Lytechinus pictus: one gene and its partner. The protein of the gene in region 2 interacts with the protein of the main gene of each other region in a pairwise test. Links are inferred from orthologs where the notes say so. Each region holds a gene or a part of one and is shown on either strand. Other genes may lie near its edges.

Region 1 (7,232 bases), about 23 Mb from region 2:
TCTTTGAAAGGACATGACAAAATACATGTGCACATATGCATGTAATGAGCTTGGAGTCAGAGCAAAAAATTGCAATGTACAAGTCTATGAAGTGTTTTCATGCATCAGAAATATATAAATCATATTCTTGGATTTTATTTCAAATCATTCATTCATCTTATTTTTATCATCTTCTTCCTTTCTTTCATCAAGGTAAGGAGGCTACTGCAGTTTTGAAATATCTCTGTTTCAGCCTTTAACTTCTAATAATGCATAGGTGTTACATGAAAGATGGCAAGCAATAAAATTCATTATTAAGTACTAGCCATTTTTTATTTTCATCAAACAATGAACATGTAGCATATTTTGTTTAATTAAAAAAGTTCACCAGGCTATACATGGGTTGGTTTTGTGTGCTGCCCTCTCACAAAATGTAGCATAAAAGTAACTTTATCAGCACACTGTTCTCCGCACATACTACAACGGAACCTGGACCCTGGCTCATGACATCCCTTATGTATAACATACATCAAACTGTCTTCAAATGTGATACCACAGAATGAACAACGCCACGGCAATCCCTCCTGGTCTCTTTCCCCCATCAAGGAAGTATTGACAAGAGGATTAGGTGGTGGCTGACTGCTCTGGGAAGAGGAAATCTGCATGTTGGGAGATTCACTGCTTACTCTTCCAAGAGAAGGACCACAGTCCTGACCCCTTCTAGGATCATCAACCAGAGGTACAGAGAATCTTGCAGGAACAGTGGGCGGCTCAACTGGTCTTTCCAGTTGAATTGTTCCACTGGATGATGATGCCTCTGCTCCACTTTGGACCAAAGGTTGAACTTTCCTCAGTTGATCATCTCTCTCATTCTGTCTAGTGTGTGTAATCGTATGTGCAGCTGGTTGTTCAGGTCTTCCTTTGTGGGCCTTTTGTTCCTCTCTATTTAAAGAAAAGTCAGGTGGCTGGTCCTGAACACAATCACCATCCGCAGATGGTTCCTCAGATGTTGTTGTGTTACTGTGGACTTGTACAATGTTGACAACTTCACTCCATTCTTCATCGTCCTCAGCTTCTGTCTTAATGGTGATTCTGTTGACAGGACTCTGGCTTCTTTGTTCAGAAGTGCTTTGGCTGCTTGGTGTCTCTTTACTCGTTGGGCTATTTTCAAAGTGAAGATTCCCCATGGAATGTGTCGATTCTGCAGACTGTGCTGCCAGGGACTGTGGAAAATCTATCAAAGAACCCTCTGCACTTGCAGGATATCTATTAACGAAAGCAAAAGGTGCTGGGGGATTTCTCAGGAATGAATCCAGGCTCCTGCTCCGGATGTTAGCTTGTCTTTGAGCAGAGAGGGCCATCAAATGTGCTGCACTATTAGGGGACACTGGAGAAAGACTTCCCGGTGAGTCTACAGGTGGTGACAACATATCCAAACTAGAACTAGCTGAGCAACAAGAGTTCTTCAGATGTCTTTGATACTCTGCCTCATCAGCCAACAGTATCCCACACTTGCACCTCCGAGGGTTCCATTGATACAGTCGACTATGCCCTTTCATATGGCCTTGTAGTGCTCTATTTGTTTGGAACTGCCTGCCACAACGTCTACAACTAACAGGTTTTTCTCCTTCATTTGATGTCGAGGGCAATTGGTTTGGACTCGCTGATGGAAGGTCGATCCTGACAGGTATATTGGGAGGTCTGTGCTTTTTGTAGGTCTTCACCATTGAAGGATGCTCTATGCTAATGTGTTTTTGCATGCTACGGGAGCCACCAATGAAGATTCCACAATGTGGACAGCTTCTACGCTTCTCTGTGTGAATCTTCAGGTGCTCTGTCAAATGCTGAATATCTGAAAACTGAGCGTGACAAAGGGTGCATGTATGTGTCTGAATATCAGCCATTGAGTTTTTGTGGGAGCGCCGATGCCTTTGAAATGATGCCCTTGAGTTGAAGTTGGCTGGGCACTGCGGACAGGCATACGGCTTGGCTCCCATGTGTTTGTTGATATGAAGCATCAGCCTCTGTTGGCTAGAGAACACGCGGTCACACATACTGCACTTGAGAAAGAATCCAGGACTTCTGTTTTCCGATCCTGCAGCATTCAATGACGCTTCACCAGGGCTATCCAAGGACTCAGTTTGCATGAACTCATCATCCTCAATGTCATCGTCATCATCATCCACAAGAACAAACTGCATGTCCACAGTTTCTGTGGTCTCGGACGAGGTCTCTCGAGACAGATTGCTCCCATGTTTTGACAGATCTTGTGGAATTTCAGACTCATCTTGTTTCTTTTTTTCTGCTAGCATTGGATTCTGGGAGTCAAAGTTCACTAGCTGGGTTCCTCTTTCAAGTGGTGGTCTAGCAGAGGCTGAATCTTCACTGCTTTTTGACCTCTGTGACCGATGATGTCCTGGTACTACTAAAGCTGAGCTGGTTTGTGAGGCTGGGTCAGATTTATCTTGCTGAGTGCTTTCCATCTTACATTTGACAAGGACCTGAAATAAAAGGAAATTGAACCAAATAGTTACTACTTGCTTGATTGTGAAAATACCAAACAAACATTGCTTCAATATCATACTTCAAAATTTTAGGAGCTTACAAATGTCAATTATTCTCATGCATTTTGCACAAACATTATTTTGATTCAAACATGAAATAAAATTAAAACAGAGACATAAATTGAAGCCTCACATTATTAAACAGTTTTGGCCATCACTCTAAATACATCTACACTGAAGCCACTTGGACCACACACCTAAGTTTGTTTCTGTGTACGCTATGAGACAAGTCCTAAACTCAGGTATATTTTACATGCAAAACAAACTCAAGAGATAGCTATCAACATTCACAATTCAAGGATTGAAAATTTGGGATACAAATGTTAGAAATTTTGAGCTCCATAACAATACTCCAGTCCCCATGTTTAAGGATTTTTTCTATAAAAAACAACAACCCAGACAGAGCACTTGGAACATCATGTATTTTTGCATGGATTTTGATCCCACAGCTGCCACCAAAATTACATAAGAGATTTATTACTAAATTCTTTAATGAAATTTGATTAAATTTTCAGTGTTTTGTTTGTCTGATTTTTCTTAATCTGTTTAAATCATATTCTCAGCCCGGAGCATCCCTTTAAACAGATTTAGAAAAATCAAACAAAACACTGAAAATTTGATCAATTTGATCAAAATCTGACTAGAAATATCAATGTTATGGCATTTTAAAAATTTGCATTATTCCGGTGAAACAGTTCTAGGCATGTCTTCATGAATATTCAATGAGCAACTTGATGATGTCATATCCCCAATTGTTCTTTGTATTCTATTATATGACATTTGGTTTATTCAACTGAAAAAAATTGGATTGACAACTGATTTAGTGCATTAGATATTCATTATAAAGGAGACACATTATTCACACATGTATGAAAAAATGAAACAATTATGATTTCATGTAATAACATAAGAAAAAGAAAATGGGGATGTTACATCATCAGCCCACCTAATGAATATTCATGATGATCTGATGTGCATTCTGTTTTCATAAATTATTGCTAAACTTTGAAATTCAATAACTTCGTTATTTGTTATCTGATTTTGATGAAATTTTCAGCATCTCTTATTCTCTTCTGAACTTCTTCCTCTGTTAGTTTTGGAGATCAGCAGAGAGATCCTGCACGTAGTAGTCTAATGTTTGTCTTCACAATAGTAGGCCCGGTCTATGTAATAATGTATTGTAATAAGAGTGGTCAGTCAGAGTGTTTAACATTATTTTCATGTAAGGCTTTATACTCACCAAACGTGCCGAATGAGATAAACAAGGGACCAAAACAGAGTTGAATAGACTGTATGTCTATTACTATTAGTATGGTAGTTGGTGCATGGCGAAGCCTCAGGTCAGTCAGGACTCGGGAGCTATGCACTGCAGTGCAGTCTCATCTCACCCAGTCTCAGCTCAGCTTGTCTGAAAATGAACTGCACTAGCCACTATGCACAGATTCCATTTGATTCCATTCAAAATTTTTAAATTGATCTCAATATAGTGCAGACTGTGGGCACTTGTCATGCTTGTCGAATCAAATGTCAAAATGGGCAAGCTATAACAGATATGGGAAAAATAAAGTTGATGACAACTGCCATATTAATACATGGGATGCCTTCACAGTACACAAACTATAGTGGGGCATCCGTGATTGAAGTATATTGCAAATATGATCTATGAGAATATACTACTACACACGTAGTAGTCTATTCTGAATAAAGGGAGGTCAATGGTGGCAGCGCCTTCATCCTGAGCGAATTATGTTAAGTATATACTTTTGCTCATTAACGGAAATTTTCTTGAAAATTGGATTGTATAATTTTTAAAACAGTCAATTATCTTTCAGAGGATGTCAGCAGTATTCTTATCTGGAATTTTGGGTCGACTTGGGGACATCAATTTTTCTTTTACCCCCATAATGGAATGAAACCTTCCTTTCGCAGACGTCAGAGGTCAAAGATTGATGATGACTTCGGGGATCACCGTGTGAATGCCGACTGAACATCAAAGAATTTCGGTAATGTATTGTATTTCTATCTTCAGAACTTATTATTGTCGTATGGTTTTTGTTATTTCAAGCAGTATGTTACTGTTAATTGTAATTTCCATGTTTGTATAATATTGTAAAGCATGATTTATTGTATTGTAACGGAAGCGACACAGACGCGGCCGCGGTCAACTTTTTCTCTGTAGACTGAATCTACGTGCCGGTACGGTCTCCGGAGTCCGGTCCGGGCTGAGCAGGGGAGAGTGTTGGGTGGTGCGCATCATCCAGCAGCATGCATGAAGCCGACGAGTCAAGGGGCAGGCTGCAGCATAGAGAATGCACTGCCCGCGCAGGCTCTGCTCTGCATGGCAGGGGTTGCCGGGCTCAGACTCTGAGTCTGACACAAGATATCATTACTATTAGACAGCTGGCAGCCGTCTGCTTCAAGGCGTTTTTTAAGTTAACATTTTTTATTTTTTCTTATTTCTTCTCGTACACAGACGGCTCGCGACCGTGCAGCCGCCGTTATGGCGTTAGGGGGGTTAAAAAAATAAAAATTCAAAATCCCCCCGACGCCGACGGGGCTCATTGATTTTTGTCTTTATTTCATAACAAGAAATCTAGGAAAGTTCATTCTCCTGTCAAGTGCCGACACCAATCAAGATTTAACTTTTTGAGATGAAAAAAAAAACTCCCCATAAACAAAGACAATCTCAATTTATCAAGACATGAACATGATTTGTCTTGGTTTATGAGGATATCCTGGCTTGTGTTCTGGGACAATCCCAATTTTTGAACCAGTCCCTCTACTGGGGATATGATCCGCAGAGACTTCGTCTAGCTCCACAGTAATAATAATAATAATATGTTCATTTATATAGCGCTCTTACAATATATCATCGTTTCACAGCGCTTTACACAATGATGGAATAGAAAATTATAATAACTTATTATACTAGCAGATAGATGAGCACCTGGCGAAGCCGGTCGGCCAGACCCTCGCCATGACCATACGATTGGATTTTTCGCGAGACCGGGGTACCTCAAAACACCCCAAAATAAAAATATAATGGAAATCATGCACTTAGATCAATTCTTTTGATGTTTGCCCAGAGTCACTATCATCAATAAGTAGTATTCAGGAGCTTGACCCTGAAAAAAGGAAAATAATCTGGTATCTGTTCTCTCTGATTCAAAATTGCACACAAAATGGCAAGCATGTATGAATTCTAACTAAAGTTAGTGATCAAAAGATCTACCCGCGGCAGCTCACCTGTTTTTTTCGCATTCAGTCTATACCGGGGGGGGGGGGGGGGGGGGTACTCGACCAAAAAAGTGGTAGGTACATGTATGTGCCGCGGACGAGACAAAAAACGGGGGCCTTGGAGCGGGCTTATTGTAAAAAGGAGGGTCCTCAGAACAGGTTTCGAAACTACAAATGTTTGTGAAAACGGAGGTCCTTGGAACGGGTCGCCTGCGTGTGAGTGCGTTTGCATCCCTATGGAACAGGCATATACGTGCATGCAGCTAGCCCGGTGGCACGGGCGCAGGGTGCGCTCGCGCAGAGGCGATTGTCGGACAGCACTCTGCGGCCGCTTTTCCACTAAAATTGCAGCTCAGTGTAGCAGATCAATGCGGCCGGCACGGCGTAACGTAAAATATGCTATGCTTTGGAGCGGCTTTCTTTGTTCTTTTTCTCAATAAGACAATAATGCTACGCCTTGGTACGGAAATTTGAGTGTAAAAATGGGGGTCCCCTCCACGGCACATGTACCCATTACGCATTATATACTGAGTTGCCCCCTGGGAGTCCATATCAAAATTATGTTACCTGTGACACTTCTACCAATGTAGGTTTTGAGAAAAGTCTAGCGTATACAGTTTGCTTCTTGTCAACACAGTTCCATTCAGCCCTTGGTACTGGTAAGCTTAGTATTAAGGATGCCTTTCTGTTTTGACTATAATACTGCTCGCATATTGCCAACAGGCTACAAGCTCACTTAAATCCATTGAACCATTTGAAACTTGTCTTCCAATGTTTTATTACAGAGAATGTTTGATAACAAAGGCAAATTGTAGCCAAATAAGTTATGAGTAAGTTTTCAGACAAAGTTCAGATAAATTACAAAGTACAATGTAATCTTTGTTTTCCTTTTCTTTGGAACAGATTTTCTAGTTTGATTCACCTTCTGTGCGTAATGGGGAATAAACATTCATGTGGCTGCATTCAAAGCTGTCACAAGAATCCAACCAGGCGGGCCCACAGGGCTCCTTCTCAAGAAATAGAACGATACGAGCCGACACCTGAAGAAGTAAATGTGGACGAAAGATCAAATCTCCAGCATATTGGTGACAGAGAGACTGGCATAGAAGGTAAACAAGCAACTTGTTTAAATTATAAAAATATAATCCCATACATGTAACTGAACACCATTTATACTCTGAATAAACGGTCAAGGCCAATAAATTAATGCAGTTCGACTTAAACAACAAACTGATTTGATGAATAAAAAAATACCATCGTTGGAATGAGCAGTGGAATAAAGAGCCCAAACTTTTGAGGGGCACAGCATGCTGTATACATGTAAATGTAAAAACAAATTGCAGGTGAGTGGAGAAGGGGGGAAATATTTTGGCATTTTTAAAATGACATGTTTTTGTGAATGTACAAATAATATCAAAGCTCCCCCCCATAGAACTGCCTCCCAATTTGCTC
Region 2 (7,545 bases):
AAATCAATCTTACAATCAACATTACAGAGAGACCTTGTAAAATCTAATTAATTGGTCAAATTCATCTATGTCACAAAGAATCAGTCAAACAATATGTAATGGACACCACACAGGTTTAGATTAAAATATCAGAATTACAGTAAGCAATTGTAATTACCATTGGCAACGGTAATGGTAAAAACTATCTCTTTTATGGTGATTTGATTGACGTTATCTTCCAAAGTGAAGCTGAGGTGTGCACATTCAGTTTGTATTTTCTATGTAGCATCTTGTTATAGATTGATGGAAGTCAACACAAAAACAATAAGCAAGACACTCGATAGCTCTCCGAGATACCTGTGACAGATAATGGTGATTCACAAACCTTTAGCTAAAGAGGAAGAGATGGGGTGCCATGTTACCCCTCTGGACTGCCCTGGGGTGCCCTGTAAACCCCTCTTGGTAACCCAGGGGCACAGGGCTTCCCTTTAGTCAGCACCAATAAATGATATCACAATTTTCCTGAACACTAACGTTTTAGAATAAGTGGTTTAGATCATGATTTCCTTTTTGCTATGACCTATATATCTATGACTTATGATTTAACATATTAGATGATTTATTCAGAAGTAGTCATTTTATATGCTTTACATTAAGAATAAACATCACATTTGAGGAACAAAGGAGAAAAGAAGTTGGCGGAGGAATATGCGCCCTGAGCAATAGCTCAACATTACAGAAGGAGATGATGATTATATGAAGGGTGTGACCTGGGGGGTGGGGGGCACTCACATATATTGGTGGTACTCACCCCGGGGGGGCCACTTACATTGACGAGTGGATACCATGCGCGATCAAAAAAACACGTAAAAAGGATGTCTTTTTCAAGATAGGGCACGTTACGTACGTAACGTGAAAAGGGTGTCAAAAACACAAAAATATTGAAAAAAGGGTATCTATTTCGCTCGGAAAAATATACGTGTTTAGGGTCAAATATGCGGGGATGATAAAACAAAATCAAAATGTTTTATAAAGGATGTCCTTTTTGCCCCAACACTACGTGTTTAGAGTCCGATTTGCGCGAGGTGTGGAAGGTGGGGCCGTACTAAACCAAAATAATGGTGTCTAAAGGTAAAACCGACGACCGAGGGACGCGTGACATAACAAAATATCTCTGCACTTGTTTAGGGGTTCATTTCAGGGAATACTTGCTAAGAGTATCGTTTTGTTTCCAATACTTGTTAAGGGGTGCATTTTCAGAATATGGAAAATACATCGCTGTACTTGTTTAGGGGCTCAGTTCTGGGAATACTTGCCAATAGTATTTGTTTCCAATACTTGTTAAGGGTAGGGTTTCACACGCCAATACTTGTTAAGGGGTGCATTTTCAGAATATGGAAAATACATGTTTAGGGTGCTTTTCAAGACCCCGTGGTCGCGCATGGTATCCACTCGTCAATGGAAGTGGCCCCCCCGGGGTACTCACATATATTGGTGGTACGAGGACGTGCCAATTGATGATCCCCTTTTTCAGACCTAATTTTCAGTTCTCTAGATACTCCGAATGACAAAATTTCAGTTCAGAAGCTGCACAGCCCCGCTCGCAATACTCCTGTTACGAGACATCTCAGTTCCCAAGCCCTGCCAAAATTGTCAAGGGTGAGCACCGCATCCGAGAGATGCATGTACGGCTTCGCAACTCCCTGCATATAACTAGTAGCCGCCCCATACATGGCTAGGGCATGCACAGGGAGTGAACAGTATGATTATGCAACTCTCTGTTCAGCCGTGACAAGGTAGGCATCAGGAATATTTTTAGCAAAAAAACAAAAATTGAAAAATAAGTTCCAATATGATGCAACTTTCATTAATAGTCTTGTGATGGGGGAATTTGCATATTTTGCTCACTGATTTATTGGCACATATATATCCAACATCTTGAATATTGAAATGGTGTAATTTCCTGGGGGATGCTCAAACACTACAACCTTCAAATGGGACTATGGAAAACCACATTTCTGTGTTGTTTAACACTTTGGCTAACCGTACACAACATATCAGCATGTTGTGAAACACTGCTGTGGTGTTCCCCTTGAGTGGTTGGTTTAACTGTATGTCTGTAGAACTCCTTTAAGGGTATGTTTGCTTGAATCTGTCTGTTTTAATTCAATTTGTTTGGTCCTTTGGTGGTAAGGCTGTGTTACTTTAATCACCTTCCCACCCCACTCCACTCACCTACCATGATTTATCATCCTACTCGACCTTTCTTCACAGATATCTGTATGAAATTTCATCGTCATAATCATAGAAAGTGTATTTCTCTAGCATATTTTGTTAAAATGAAACTTGTCATCACCCACTAATCACATGATGACAACATGTAGTCAACCACGTGTATAATTTCAACATGATATTTGGGCATTCCCCATTATGGTGAGCTAGATTGCCTCTCTTACTCAGCCCATAACCCAAAGATTAAAACCCAAACCACAGTCAAACTATGATTACCTTTTATATCCCCATACGCTTTTTGTTCTTACCAAATTAACCAATATCTTGTGCAATCAGAGCAATGAGGTACTTCCCCAGGACAAGGTTTTAACCAGGTCTGAATTCACCCACTGTTTTGAAAGATTGTTTAGAAATTCTTTACACCTTTTATTATTTGGTAAAATTGTAAATTTAGTAATTGCAGCATGTGATATGATCCTCCAATATTAAATTTTCTGTAAGAATATTATTACTTAAAAAATTTCATCCAAAAGTTGTCCCCAAATTAAAATTTCTTTTGATGACACAATTTATGTCAATCATTATCATGATTATTGAGCCTGGAGAAATGTTTGTTTTGGGTTTTTCTGATGTGACCATCTGTTTGTATAAAACCAAACATTGGTAGATATAAGTTGCCATGTAGGGCATGCTATTAAGATAGTACTTAGATGTGAGCATGCATGGCTGTGTTTAGTTGTTTGAGTTACATTTCAGAATCTAATGTAAAATGTTAGTAAATTTGACTGATAATGAATGGATAATATAGCATAGTAGTTTAGCAGGATGTGAAAATATTCAAATCAATCATTAAATTTTATGAAGATACATGTATTTAGATTTTACAGATTGTGTGTTCAGTCGATCCATACAAATCAAAATCAGTTTGTTTCATAAAATCATATTTTTATATGGGCTATTTGGGGTCCTTCTTTCTGATTTGAATATGAATGTTGAATTTATTTTTTTTCTTTCCTGTTTGATTTTTAAGTGTTAACCTTAAACTTTAATACATCTTTGTGATATTCAAAATAATCTGATGTATATTTTGTGTGTTTTTATTTTTCTACTAGTTGGGTGAGGTTAGAAAATCAAATTTTGTTTTGATGCAATTATTTTTTTTCATGTGATAATTACAAAATACAAGTCTGGACCAGTCTTTTCCTAGCATGTGGTCTAAAACTTTGTTGGCATTTGGCCAACTCTAGAAGTCTGTCTGTGATTGGCCCATTGGCAGACCAAAACATTACATCATTGGCTATTTAAACACCCCCAAACTTCTCCAATACTCTTTCATTCCATTGCAACACTATGCTTGCAGAAATAGGAAACACTAAAAGCATAATGACCTGTCATGACCTACCCTGTAACACACAAAAAAATAATGTGTAACATTCTATCCCATTGTCAACCAATCAATAGCTGTAGCTTTGTTTTTAAATTGTTGCAAAACAGGTCCCTGGTATGTGCACTGTCTTAATATTTGCAAAATTTTAATACTCAGGAAACAAACTTTAACCATTCTTTCCCTTTCAAGGAACAATTATTGATGATTATTTGTTTATTAATGATTATGAAAAAATATTTTACATTGTCATAAATAGATTATGTACATTAACCTTTGAATGTATTTAAAATAGATTGTGGAAGAACCATTAAGGCTATCCACCCTATTACAGAAAAATGAATGAATAAATTAATAAATAAAAAAACAAAATGCAGGTACATTTATTAGAATAACTTTTAAAAACAGTTTTTTCTTCAAACATCAGTTGTGTATTAAAAATGAAAATTGTTATTCAATGATCCAGTATGATAACAATCATAACATACTCTATAACATGTAACATATTATGTAGCACTTACAGAAGATTACTGACATGTCTAAAGCTGATATTATGTGAAGAGGTTAAAGGTGGATGTTGGGCCAATATTTTATGCACTTTGAAAACTGTGTCAAGTCCAATTTCGTCTCTTATTCTTGCATATATTTAATGTGACACTGGCTTACAATTAATGTGTCAGTTTAGTTATTGTTGATCTACCCTTTACCATGACAACAGCTGATACAATAATAAATTGTTTCCTGAATGGTGTTTTTACTTTTCAAAATGGAAAATGATAAATTGACCATACATTGTGCAACATCTCCTATACGTCAAGGTTCTGTCACCTGTTTGATCTAGACTCGGCATGTATTGCTAAATACCGATTGTTTTTGTAAGAGCTTTTTATAGATCTGCCGTCCTGTAATAGTTTGAAAATTGTTTTGGTTTAAATGTGGACTACTCCAACGTGTAACTGTCGTTTTGGGGAGGTCAGTACCATGTTCCTTCCTCTCCTACCACTGGATTTCCTGTGAGAAGATCATGAATATTCATCAGGTGACTATTCATGTAGACTGATGCAGTGCATGTCACAATGAATGAAGGAAGCATGCATTATTCATGTGGAGTGATTTGATTGGATAATGCTGTGATGTCATAGAACTTTTCTCAGGGATTGAGAAACCTCATTGGTCCAACAAGCCTTCTCCCTGTGAATATGTATGAGAAGACAGATATTTTGATAGGTTGGCTGTAAACATGATCTTACCAATTGGATTGATAGATATTGATTATGGACAATTGTGCAATATATGGGTGAAAATTTGACAGACTCTTCTGTATAGTTTTAAAAATGATATTGCACATATAAGAGATAAATAGTCTTGTCTCCTGCCACAGACTTAATGTTCTGTAGTAACCTTCTTTTTGTGAAAGAGATAGGAAGTCTCCGATCACCTGGTGTTTCGTAGGTAAAGACTACAGGAACCAGTTTTGAAACCAAACATGATTTAGACACGCCAACATTAACCAATCACAACTCTTGCACCAGGACAGCCCAAGAGGAAGTCGTTTGTACAGCACGCTCGTTTTGGCGGTTGATCTTGTTTGAGTATATAGTCATCAACTCTCCTGCAGACCTTATCAGTCTGCTACACATCCCTGACTGGTGGAACATACAACTTTTCTGCTCTTAGCAACTCAATGGTCAGCTCTTTGTGATTTAGGTGTAGACTGCCAATCAAAAGGAAAAGATTTCTTGATTGAGGATCTGTTACTTTTATCAATTTTCTTGGAGTTTTGAGGCTTTTCTATAATCACCATGCCAATCCTTATCCCGACAATCTTGACGATGCCCAAGTCTACCAGACGAGGCAGGTTTATTAAACCTCTTCCAGTCCAGATAGATGGACCTACGTGTAATCACAAACATCTTGGCAAATTGCCCTACTGTAAGGTATGTCATATCAATCTGTAGCTCTACCTATTTCATTCATACCTGATTTTTTAAGTTTTTAAGTCATTGTAATCTTGTTGCTTATGTGTTTAAGATGCAGATTATCTGCTAATAGTGTGTATAGATCTACCCTCTTCATCTTCCTTGCATGGTATATTGATAAATTCTCCTCATTGGTGGTGTGATTTGTAAGTTTTAAGGATTTAAATAAATTCAGATTAGCTGTGAATAGGGTCCAGCAAAATATTGGATTTTTAAATCTTGAGTATTAATTTTGTATCTCAAAAGATTTCATTCAAATCTTTTAAGTGGTCTCTAATCTGTCTTTATTTCAACCCCTTGAAATTTAGAGTGTACAATAAGTTTTTTGGGGTCGTAAGAACCTGCATTCATAATTTTGTTTTACATTACAAAATAAATTTCTATCTTAAATAGATCCAGTGAAGATTTACCAGCTGAACAATATTGAATTGAATACTAAATTCTTTTAATTAAATCCTTTGAGATTTGAAAATAATTCCTTAGGTTATAAAAATAAATCAAATGACTGACTGGTTTATACTATTCACATGTTGAAGTTTCATAGTGCCACTTATTGGCTTTCCATATCATATAAATACATGCTTCATGAACATGTAAGCATATCACCATGTCTTCATCTTTAATTTCTATCTTCATCTACTTGAAATAATTGATTTCAGCATTCTCTTCTATTGGTATTTCTTTCAATGATCAATCCTTTCATTACATCTTTCTCATGATCTATAAATAGTTAATTATACCCTCCCCTGTTTCTCCACATCCCATTCCCCTTAATGGACAGCATCCCCCATCTCTATGGGATCCATAGCAACATGTATTTGTTTAGTAGATTACAATGTAATCAAGGAATCCATTTAGTATCTTGTTTCCTTGTCCACTGATGGAGATAGTGATGAATGATGAAATGATTGTGTGCCCATTGACTTAGAGTTCAAAATGCATAATTCAAATTATCTTGAAATTTAAAAGTAAAACATTTTATTAACATGGTGAAGGAGGTATTAACATTGTTCTCTCAAGGTGTGCTTGATGCTTTAAGTTATGATTGACTGTTTTGAAAAACAGGAAAACTCATGTCAAATACTCCCAATAGACATAGATGATGCCATCCGCTTGAGATGGAGTAACAGCACTTCTGGGAATGATTTTTGTTGAAACTTATTAAGGAGGTAATTGCTAATTAAGTTTGACTTCCACTTAAGATTTAATTCACAGCTCTACAAAGTAATAATTGGATGTTTGTCAAGGAATATTATGATTTATTGTGATCCTAACATATCACTTGGAAATTTCGTCAAAAACATTGTTCGATAATATTAAATGCTCATTATTCATAAATGTCAAGGATTGTTCTCTATGTTATATCAGAAAGACATTATGACAAACCCAGGAAAGCTCAATATGAGCCTAAACCTTGACTTTTATTTTCATTCTTGATAGATATTTTTACCTTGGCATTTACATGATGCTTTCTATTTCTCTATAATCTTCAATAACATAATCAGTCTTACTTTTTTTCATCTTCCTCCATTTTCATTCCAAGTATTTTATTTCAACTTGAATTCATGTGAACCAATATATATCTTGAATTAAAACATTATTAACAAATGTTATTATTTTTCCTTTGAAAGTATAGTGGCTGCGTCTTTTAACCCTTTCATCTTCTTAGCATCATGATAGTGCATCAGTTTGAATTTTCATTTATTACAGATCTTAATCATCAGTGATAAAATGTCAGAATTATGAGTGAAAAGTTTTCAGGAGGAAATTGAATGTTAATGGCAATGAAATGATAAAGACAAATATGTACTAACAGAGATGATCAATTGATCAGCAAGGCTTAACATTCCTTGGCAAAGATTCTGAAGTTTCAATGAATAAGACATGGTATGATGATGGATGATTGTTACATGACAAGTAAATGTCAGAGTTTGAGATTCATACTGCCTTGTCAACATGAGACTGGAGGTC

The links. The genes of interacting proteins can lie anywhere in the genome.
Region 1: the proteins of cyclin-dependent kinase 14-like (region 2) and cyclin-Y-like protein 1 interact in a two-hybrid assay, tested with the Drosophila melanogaster proteins (2 studies listed by BioGRID). The link is inferred for Lytechinus pictus from reciprocal best matches to the Drosophila melanogaster genes Eip63E and CycY.

Annotation. Positions count from the first base shown.
Region 1 is NC_087245.1:33,479,757-33,486,988, forward strand, and holds the start of cyclin-Y-like protein 1, read left to right. Parts: upstream 1-4,228; 5' UTR 4,229-4,546; intron 4,547-6,683; 5' UTR 6,684-6,714; coding exon 6,715-6,889; intron 6,890-7,232. Other genes in the region: zinc finger and BTB domain-containing protein 24-like, read right to left, coding at 372-2,462.
Region 2 is NC_087245.1:10,467,417-10,474,961, reverse strand, and holds the start of cyclin-dependent kinase 14-like, read left to right. Parts: upstream 1-4,537; 5' UTR 4,538-5,397; coding exon 5,398-5,532; intron 5,533-7,545.